2 linked regions of the Xenopus tropicalis genome follow. The protein of the gene in region 2 binds, or shares a complex with, the protein of the main gene of each other region. Links are inferred from orthologs where the notes say so. Each region holds a gene or a part of one and is shown on either strand. Other genes may lie near its edges.

Evidence for each region. Proteins that work in one complex are often made in the same cells at the same time.
Region 1: exosc1 (region 2) and exosc6 share a complex: the UniProt entries of both Homo sapiens proteins name them as parts of the RNA exosome core complex. The link is inferred for Xenopus tropicalis from reciprocal best matches to the Homo sapiens genes EXOSC1 and EXOSC6.

The regions. Positions count from the first base shown.
Region 1 is NC_030680.2:74,926,509-74,930,642, forward strand, and holds the start of exosc6 (exosome complex component MTR3), read left to right. Parts: upstream 1-1,334; 5' UTR 1,335-1,357; coding exon 1,358-2,008; intron 2,009-3,514; coding exon 3,515-3,676; 3' UTR 3,677-4,134. Other genes in the region: aars1 (alanine--tRNA ligase, cytoplasmic), read right to left, coding at 1,174-1,258. UniProt on the Homo sapiens protein: Non-catalytic component of the RNA exosome complex which has 3'->5' exoribonuclease activity and participates in a multitude of cellular RNA processing and degradation events.
Region 2 is NC_030683.2:32,985,207-32,989,336, forward strand, and holds the start of exosc1 (exosome complex component CSL4), read left to right. Parts: upstream 1-1,330; 5' UTR 1,331-1,347; coding exon 1,348-1,375; intron 1,376-1,915; coding exon 1,916-2,031; intron 2,032-2,400; coding exon 2,401-2,475; intron 2,476-3,120; coding exon 3,121-3,209; intron 3,210-3,842; coding exon 3,843-3,876; intron 3,877-4,130. UniProt on the Homo sapiens protein: Non-catalytic component of the RNA exosome complex which has 3'->5' exoribonuclease activity and participates in a multitude of cellular RNA processing and degradation events.

The DNA.
Region 1 (4,134 bases), on a different chromosome or scaffold from region 2:
GGCCACACCCCATTTTTAAAATATTTAAAATAGTGCCCACGATGGCCCAATAGACAGCACCCCCATACACAGTGCCCCCCATACACAGTAGCCCTCCTTACACAGTGTCCCCCCATACACAGTAGCCCTCCTTACACAGTGTCCCCCCATACACAGTAGCCCTCCTTACACAGAGCCACCCCATACACAGAGCCCCCCATACACAGTGCCCCCCCATACACAGAGCCCCCCCATACACAGAGCCCCCCATACACAGTGCCCCCCATACACAGAGCCCCCCGATACACAGAGCCCCCCATACACAGTGCCCCCCCATACACAGTGCCCCCCCATACACAGTGCCCCCCCATACACAGTAGCCCTCCTTACACAGTGTCCCCCCATACAATGCCCCCCCCATACACAGAGCCCCCCAATTGCCCCCATAGTGAGTACCTCCAAAAGAAAATGCCCCCATACATAGCGGCCCCCATAGACTTCTTGGGCTCCTGCTCCTTATTCGGCTCCTCGTACAGCGGAGACAGGACCTTTTATAAGGTTGCGCCCGTGCATACGTGTGACGTCACACGTACGCACGGGCGCAACCTTATAAAAGGACCTGTCGCCACCGTACGAGGAGCCGAATAAGGAGCAGGAGCCCAAGAAGAGACGGAGCCGGAGCGATCCGCTGCAGCCAGCAGCAGGGTATGTAATAGAAACACATATATCAGAAACATAAATTATTTTATGCACATAAATACAACTGATTTGGAAAGTCCCATGTCTCCTGAACGTGCCAATACCAAATATATATAGTTTTATGGAGATTTCTCACTTGTATAGGTCAAAAACTCCCAGCAGTACACTACCATATTTCCAAAGCACTGCTCCAGAAAGCTGCACACATTAAGGCCAAAAATTCCACTAACAGAAGGTTTACCCTAGAAACCTATGCATTTCTGGAAAGAACAGATTCTGGCGAATCCAGAATAAGTAAAACTGTCTGTCTACTCCAAACTATTAAGTTGCAATGCTTTCCTAAATTTATAATTTTTTTCTAAAAATTTGTGACATTTTTTGAAAAATTGCTTCAAATCTTCCATTCTATAGCATCATATCTACTGCTAGGTCATAAGGTAACCAGATAAAACACCCTAAATATGAAAGTCAGGGGTGCATTGAACAGTTTCATACCCAATAGTAGATCACAGGGTGACAAAGTGTCTGGGCACCCCTGTGCTAGTAAAGGCCCGTTCCAGGCACAGAGGATAAAATTCATCGAGTGGCCACTGTGCGGCGGTGTTTCGGCGCATTAGGCCTGTCCGTGCTCACGGTGGGAGGAAACACGTTGTAGGATAGTATCACCCAGTGCATAGCCATGCCGGGAGACAGCCGCCGTATTCGTGGCCCCGAAGAGTCGCAGTCCCCTTTGCTCTATGTACTGAGTGAAGAAGGAGGAAAAGCCGCAGGGAGAAGGGGCCGCGGTCCGTCAGAGCCCCGGCCGGTGTTTGTCAGGGCCGGCCTCCTGAGCCAGGCTAAAGGCTCCGCGTACCTGGAGGCCGGGAGTGGCGGCACTAAAGTGCTGTGCGCAGTTCATGGGCCGCGGGAGCGCGGGATGGGAGGGGAGAGAGCAGAGACCCGGGGCCGCCTGCTCTGTGACCTGCGCTGGGCTCCCTTCTCCCGCCGCGGACCCTGGTCTGGCTCTTGCCCCGCTGGGCCCTCTCCCCGCCAGGCCGGGCTGCAACTACAGGAAAGTCTGGAACCGGCCGTGCGATTGGATCGCTACCCCCGAGCGGAGGTGATAGTGTGGGTCCTAGTGCTGGAGGATCGCGGCTCTGCGCTGCCTGCGGCCGTGTCTTGTGCCTCGCTGGCTTTGGCCGATGCTGGGATAGAGATGTTTGACCTGGCGCTCGGATGTGGGCTAAGCCGCGGCCCCGGTGGGGAGCTTCTGCTGGATCCGGATGATGATGAAGAGGAGGCTGGGAGTGGGGGCACCATGAGCCTGAGCCTCTTGCCAACCCTTAATCAGGTCAGCGGCCTGTGTGCCACTTCTGGTGTAGGGGCAGATAGGGGCTTAGTGCTTGGGCATGTGGGGGTTACTGTGGGACACACCAGCTCTGCACTCCTTGCTTTCCCTCATCCTACTAGTACAGCTATTAACCCCTAACAAATTGAAAGTATATTAGCTCAGAGCCCCATTCACGCTTTATACTTATTCTTTGTTTTCTTTAGTTTACATGATACATCTATTAAGATTCCACCATCTGTCTACATTGTGCCTTCTCTCTTCAGCAGCTCCTTCACATTTGCCTCTCCAGAAAACTTCTGGCAACTTAGGAAAACTGATGCAGCAAATTTGCCAACCCACTGGGGATTCACATTCTTGCTGGTGGCAAGGCATTTCGAGAAGATTAGTCTCACTCGATTGCAAAGATGTATCACAGGCGACTAATCTTCCCACGTGCCAGTGCCCTAGGGCAATGCTATACTAAGCAATTACCTCCATCAAGATTTGCTGCTCATTGGGTGGGTGCCATGCCATTGATCTGAGAGGGCTGTTATCCGTACCTTTCTGGTCAGGCTCCATTGCAGCTCATAGGCTGCTGTTCAACAATATCATTATATATAAAGTGTAAAACTGCTGGTATGTAAACTAAAGAGAATTTAAAAATAGTGTACATTGAAAAAGTGCATAGAAGAGTCGTAGCCACTGCTGTTCGCCTTGCAGCCTGTAGAGCAGTGGGTTAATGGCACAGTGTAGCCTAACCTGTCAGCCTAAATTGAATGAAACTGTTACATAGTGACTTAAAAAAAATAGACTTTGGGAGCATTAGAGAAATCTGGATCCATGTACGCTAATATGAAGCAGCTCTTGGAATCACGTATTTGCGCTGGTGATGATGGTCTTTCCAGTGTAACGATTTTAGATTGCTTATAATATACATTGTTTTAATATTGGGCTTTGGACTTAGTGTTCAGCTTCTCAAAGCAGCTAAACATTCTGCCAAATAGACATTTTCCTGCCAGGCATTAAAATGGGAGAAAAAATTCAAACTGCTGGGAATCTCTGGGTGTTACTAGGTTTTGGCATTATTTGAGAAATGTTATTGGGTAACTTAAGGTGGAAAAGAAAGTTGACACAGAAAAGAGTATAGCTCTGCCAGTGCTTTGCCGCCATGTTATGAAAGGCTCCCATGGACCACTGTGTGAGACTGGGGACTTAAAGAACATTACAGTGCTGGCAGAAATAGTGTGTTATGTGTTGAAAAGGAACTCCAGCCTGGGGTTTAAGATTAGTAATTGTAATGAGTGGGGGCATAACATTCCCAATGACATCATTTTTATTTTCCATTAAATAGCCAACAAATGGTATAGGACATAATGCAAAGGAGGTTTTTTTGCTGAAAACAATTTCATGTAATATCTTATTGCTGTACTATATGCACATTTTCAGCAAGGGGGCTAATATTTAGTTTTGCTTACAAATCTACAGGAATGAACTCCTAATGACAGTCATGTTTTCTTGTACCCACAGGTTTCTGGACTTATTAGCAGTGGAGAGTGGGAAGGCGAGAGCTCGGAGGAAGCGGTTAGACTCTGCATGGAAGGCTGCCAGAGATTGTACCCAGTTTTGCACCAGTGCCTAGTGAAAGCCACTAAAAGGAAAATACCAGTGCCACAGCCTGACACAAACTGATCCTCGTAGCTTTGGGTGCAGCTCTCCTTTCTAAGGCAAACTAATAGTGCTGCAAAGCAGGCAATGTCTACTTTCTGCTCTATAGTGGATCGGGACCACCCGAAGACAAAGCCACCATCGCTGGCTGATCAAATGTATTGTTGAAGTGTTATATTCTGTATATGGTCAGCTGAAAATTATAGCTCTGTATTCATGTTGAATGTGAAAGGCGTATAGTATCTATACAGAACTTGTTTGCCAGTCAATCTGCTTTAACAGCTGCTCTCTAAAGACAGAAATAACACTGATTTCAGTTTACTATGGCATTTAGAATATCCCTTTACTGGGAACTTACTGTACCAGCTACTGTCACTTATTTCCTTAAAAGGGAATCTCCACCTGGTTTCTGTTTAAAACTCCATTTTCATGGGGCAAAATTATTTTCTATAGACAGCCTTAGGCTTTTTTCCCTGCTGTAG
Region 2 (4,130 bases):
GTTTATTAAACAATAGTATCCTTATACCCTTTTCTGTCAAGCATTTTCCTTAGTTCCAGAAGAGTTGGTATATGTTAATAAACTTTTTTAATTCTTAGCAAAAAGTTGATCCAGGGATTGTTGGAGTAATTACTTCACTCCCTTTAAGGCTTATGGGAGATGCCTTCTGATATCTGTATTGCTCCAGATTAACTAGATATTAGTGGTGTTTCTCTTAGAGAAAACGTTGAACTTGAAGGGTGTGTCCTTTTTCAACCACATCTACTATGTAAAGGTCTCAATTACAATTTCTAGGCACTAACAAAAGATGCTGTTAAATGCTATATGCAATGTGTACTTGTGCCTGCCTATGCCCATGCTGTATGCTTATTTTCCAGTGGCACCTGCTTTAGTGCATAAGGGGCAGTACAGCACTGTATCTGCGCTGGCCACACAGTAACTGCACAACCCCCTTGCCACTAGTTTATTAGACCCTATGAATGGTACACAATTAAAAAGCATTTTACTGTATGCCCAGGTGACAACTGTGTTGGAAACTAGTGAATTGTGTCAATTTTAAATAAGTATATTAGGGCTAGGAATTATTCATCTTGGCAGTGTTGTTAGTTACTGGCCTAGTTACTGACAGAAGATAAAAGTTCAATTATAAAGCAAGGTGTATATACACACATGTATATATATATATATATCTCAAATATTCAAATATTTTCTTCTTACAGTAGGTGTACGAGGCAAGAGCTTATTGCTGTCTGTGTGCCTCCTGTCCCTGAGAATAATTACACCATTTTGTAAGTTCTGATTATCCCCTATAGGTTACGAGGTCAAAAAGGGAGAAACGTACATCCCAAGAATAGCGTCTTATTCCGTAACCCCCTCGTCCGGTATTCTTTCTGCGTTATTAAGGAAAATATATATACCTATCGATTTTCGATGGAAGCACCACTGTACAGAAGCCTCACGCTGAGAGAGCCTGCCTCGCTATGGTTTCCATGCAACGTCATAGTGAAGAGAACGTTTTCTAATAACTATTACAGTCACAGGAAAAGCAGTGTAAATGACATTCTGTTGCTATAGGAACACATATCTGGCCAGGTTGTGATATGTAAAACCATATTTTTTTAGAAATGAAAATCGATTTCTAGAACACAGACTAATACTAACATAACACTGTTTTTTTAAGATAAAGTAAAGGCTGCCAGAACTCCAGCCTCAAATTGTACAATTGCTACGTGGTACGTCATCACGCTGCGACGGCTGAAGAGCCAATGGCAGGATATGTTACGTCACTAACCGGGATGTACCCAATCGGAGCCTTCATTGCCCAGTATTGGTTATCACGTGTTTATCATGGCTCCTGTAAGGTGCTGTGTGCCGGGTGAGTGAAGCAGGGCACAGTGTTTAGTTAGTGTCGGTGCCTGGTAAGGAAGGACTGGGTTGGGTAGGAGTGCTGTGGGTTAGTGACTGAGATGTAATAACAGTAGGGATGCCGTAAAAAGAAATTGTGGAAACATTTCTCCTGCTCGTGTTGTAGTAAATGTATGTATATCTTTATTTATAAAGCGCTACTTATGTACGCAGCGCTGTACAGTAGAATAGATTAATACAAACAGGGGGTTAATAAGATAATAGATGAATACAAAGTATAACAATAAATACAAATAAATACAAGATACAGTTACAGTTGCAATAAGTTAAGAGTCAAAGACACAAGAGGATGGAGGTCCCTGCCCCGTAGAGCTTACAATCTATATATATATATAATTTCAGCTCTCCTGTCAGGCTTCATTCTGGGAATTCTGAGTTCAAGTTCTAATCTCTGAAGTAATATATTATTTTTACTTTTAAAAGTTGGTTGTTTTTTATATACCCTGTGCAGAGTTGTATTATTGTGTTATCTTTCTTTTAACCTCTGCAGGTGAAAGGCTGTGCAGCACTGAAGACTGTGCCCCTGGATATGGAACTTTCTGCAGACATGGCTATATTTTTGCCTCCCTGGCAGGTTACATAGTGAAGAAAACTGACAATGGCTTGGTAAGTAGTTTTCTGTAGTAGGTTGTTATTATACATAGCTGAGATACGATACACGAGTGGTAACATTTATGTTTTCGGGAGGATTTTAGGGCAGTCATTTGTTTCCCAACTATACAAAGCAGTCACTGGGAGTTTGCAGCCAGCTCAGTCTTACATTGTTGAATATGTGCCAGCAGGCAGTTGGGTCTTGCCACCTAGACAATACTATTGATCCCACCCATACATGCAGCCCTGAAGTAATGTTGAAGCTCATCTTTAAACTATTTCTGAAAGTACAATAATTTGCTGCTCCTGTGCAGACTGTCCCCAGTATAATATAGTTTTTATTTAAAATTTTTATTTCCTTACCTGCACTTTTTTGGTTTCTAGATGCCAGTTATTTCTGTGGTAAGAGAGACTGATTCACATCTTCTGCCAGATGTTGGCTCTGTTGTCACTTGTAAGGTAAGAATGTATTTTGCACACCAAAGTAGAATTCTGTAGTGGTGTTGTGTTATAACAGGTGGTAAAATGTATCTTTTTTTTTTTTTTTTGGGGGGGGGGGGGGGGGGGCTGGGTTTAGGGCAGTCATTTGTTTCTCAGCTATACAAAGCAGTTAGTAGGAGTAGAAGCCAACATTGATCCCACCCATGTATATAGTTTTTATGATCAGGCAAAAATCCTCTTTTTGGTGACCTTTCAGCATAAAAGCTGGCTTAGGTACAAGAGGACTGGTAAGGAGCTGTGTAAAGGGCTCAATGACATTAACATGTCCCAGCCAAATGATGGGTTATTGTGAGATACGAGGTACTTACAAGCTTAAAAGGAGCACTTTGGAAGGAGATGATAATGATTGTGGGAAAACTAAGAGAGTGCCATCTGTACATCAGCTTTTATAGATTGTAATATTCACTTTAAATGAACCAATACTTTGAGGCAATCTGTAACTGGTATTTATTTTTTTAAGCTCCACTATGTTTTATAACACAGTATTTGTCAATTTGAAATGTGAACTTTTTTTCATTTACTTTTTAATTTTTCATTCTTATAATAAACTTCATTTATTATTATGGAGTTTCTAATTTAGTCTTTATTTCCATTCATAATTAGGTAACAAGCATTAACTCCAGGTTTGCAAAGGTCCAAATTATGTATATTGGTTCAACTCCACTGAGTAACACATTTCGAGGCACAATCAGGTAAAGGATTTACTCTGAGGCTAGACCCTTCTTATTTAAAGTAAACCTTCTGCAGTATAGAGGGAGCCCATGTACTGGCATTTCTGGGTGTTGAAGATGTGTTCTGACATTTGCTCAAAAAAAATCGCATAACCCCTTTTGCAATTTAATTTTTATGCCATAAAGCAAGATTGGGCTTGTGTATTGCAGAAGATTAGTAAAAGTCACGAGAACCAGGAGATGGATTCCTTTATACATGCAGCTGAAAATGCGGGCTGGGGATTTGAGGACACTGACCCCAGCAGCAAAACAAAATATTTACTGCAGGGCTTGACAGTTATGGATAGTGGTTATATTTCTTTTCAGGGCCCGCTGTTCTTCATCTTTCATGTAAAGATTGCGCATTGGTTTTTAGGATAATTAACCCCTGGCAGTGAGAATTTAAATTCCAACCCTCAGAGCAGCAGAACAAAAAATTTAAGAATAAATTAAAAATCCAAAAAAAGCTATTGAATCTGTTTGCCTGTGTATGAATTGCTTAAAAGTACATTTTAAGGTGTTACACAGTGTTTTTAGAAATTATATGATTAAGAGCCAGAGCTGGGCATCTAACATTATTGCCTTATGTATAAATAGTTGCTTTTTGGCTTCTAGGAAAGAAGACATTCGTGCTACAGAAAAAGACAAGGTAACTGGACCCGCTTGTTTGTTTTTGTGAGTAAAAAAAAAAAATGTTAGGCACCCTCTCCGAGATTGTAATCACTTACTGCATACCCCAGATTGTGCTCCTGTTAGCAAAAAACTACACTGGCCCAGAGAACAGTTTGCTGGTTCTTCCTTCTTCACGGTGGATATGCATGCACAGCAGTGTGAAAAATGCCAGCTTTTCCTCTCTACTGCGCACGCCCCAACTTGGGGCCACTGAAGAATGAAGATGATTGG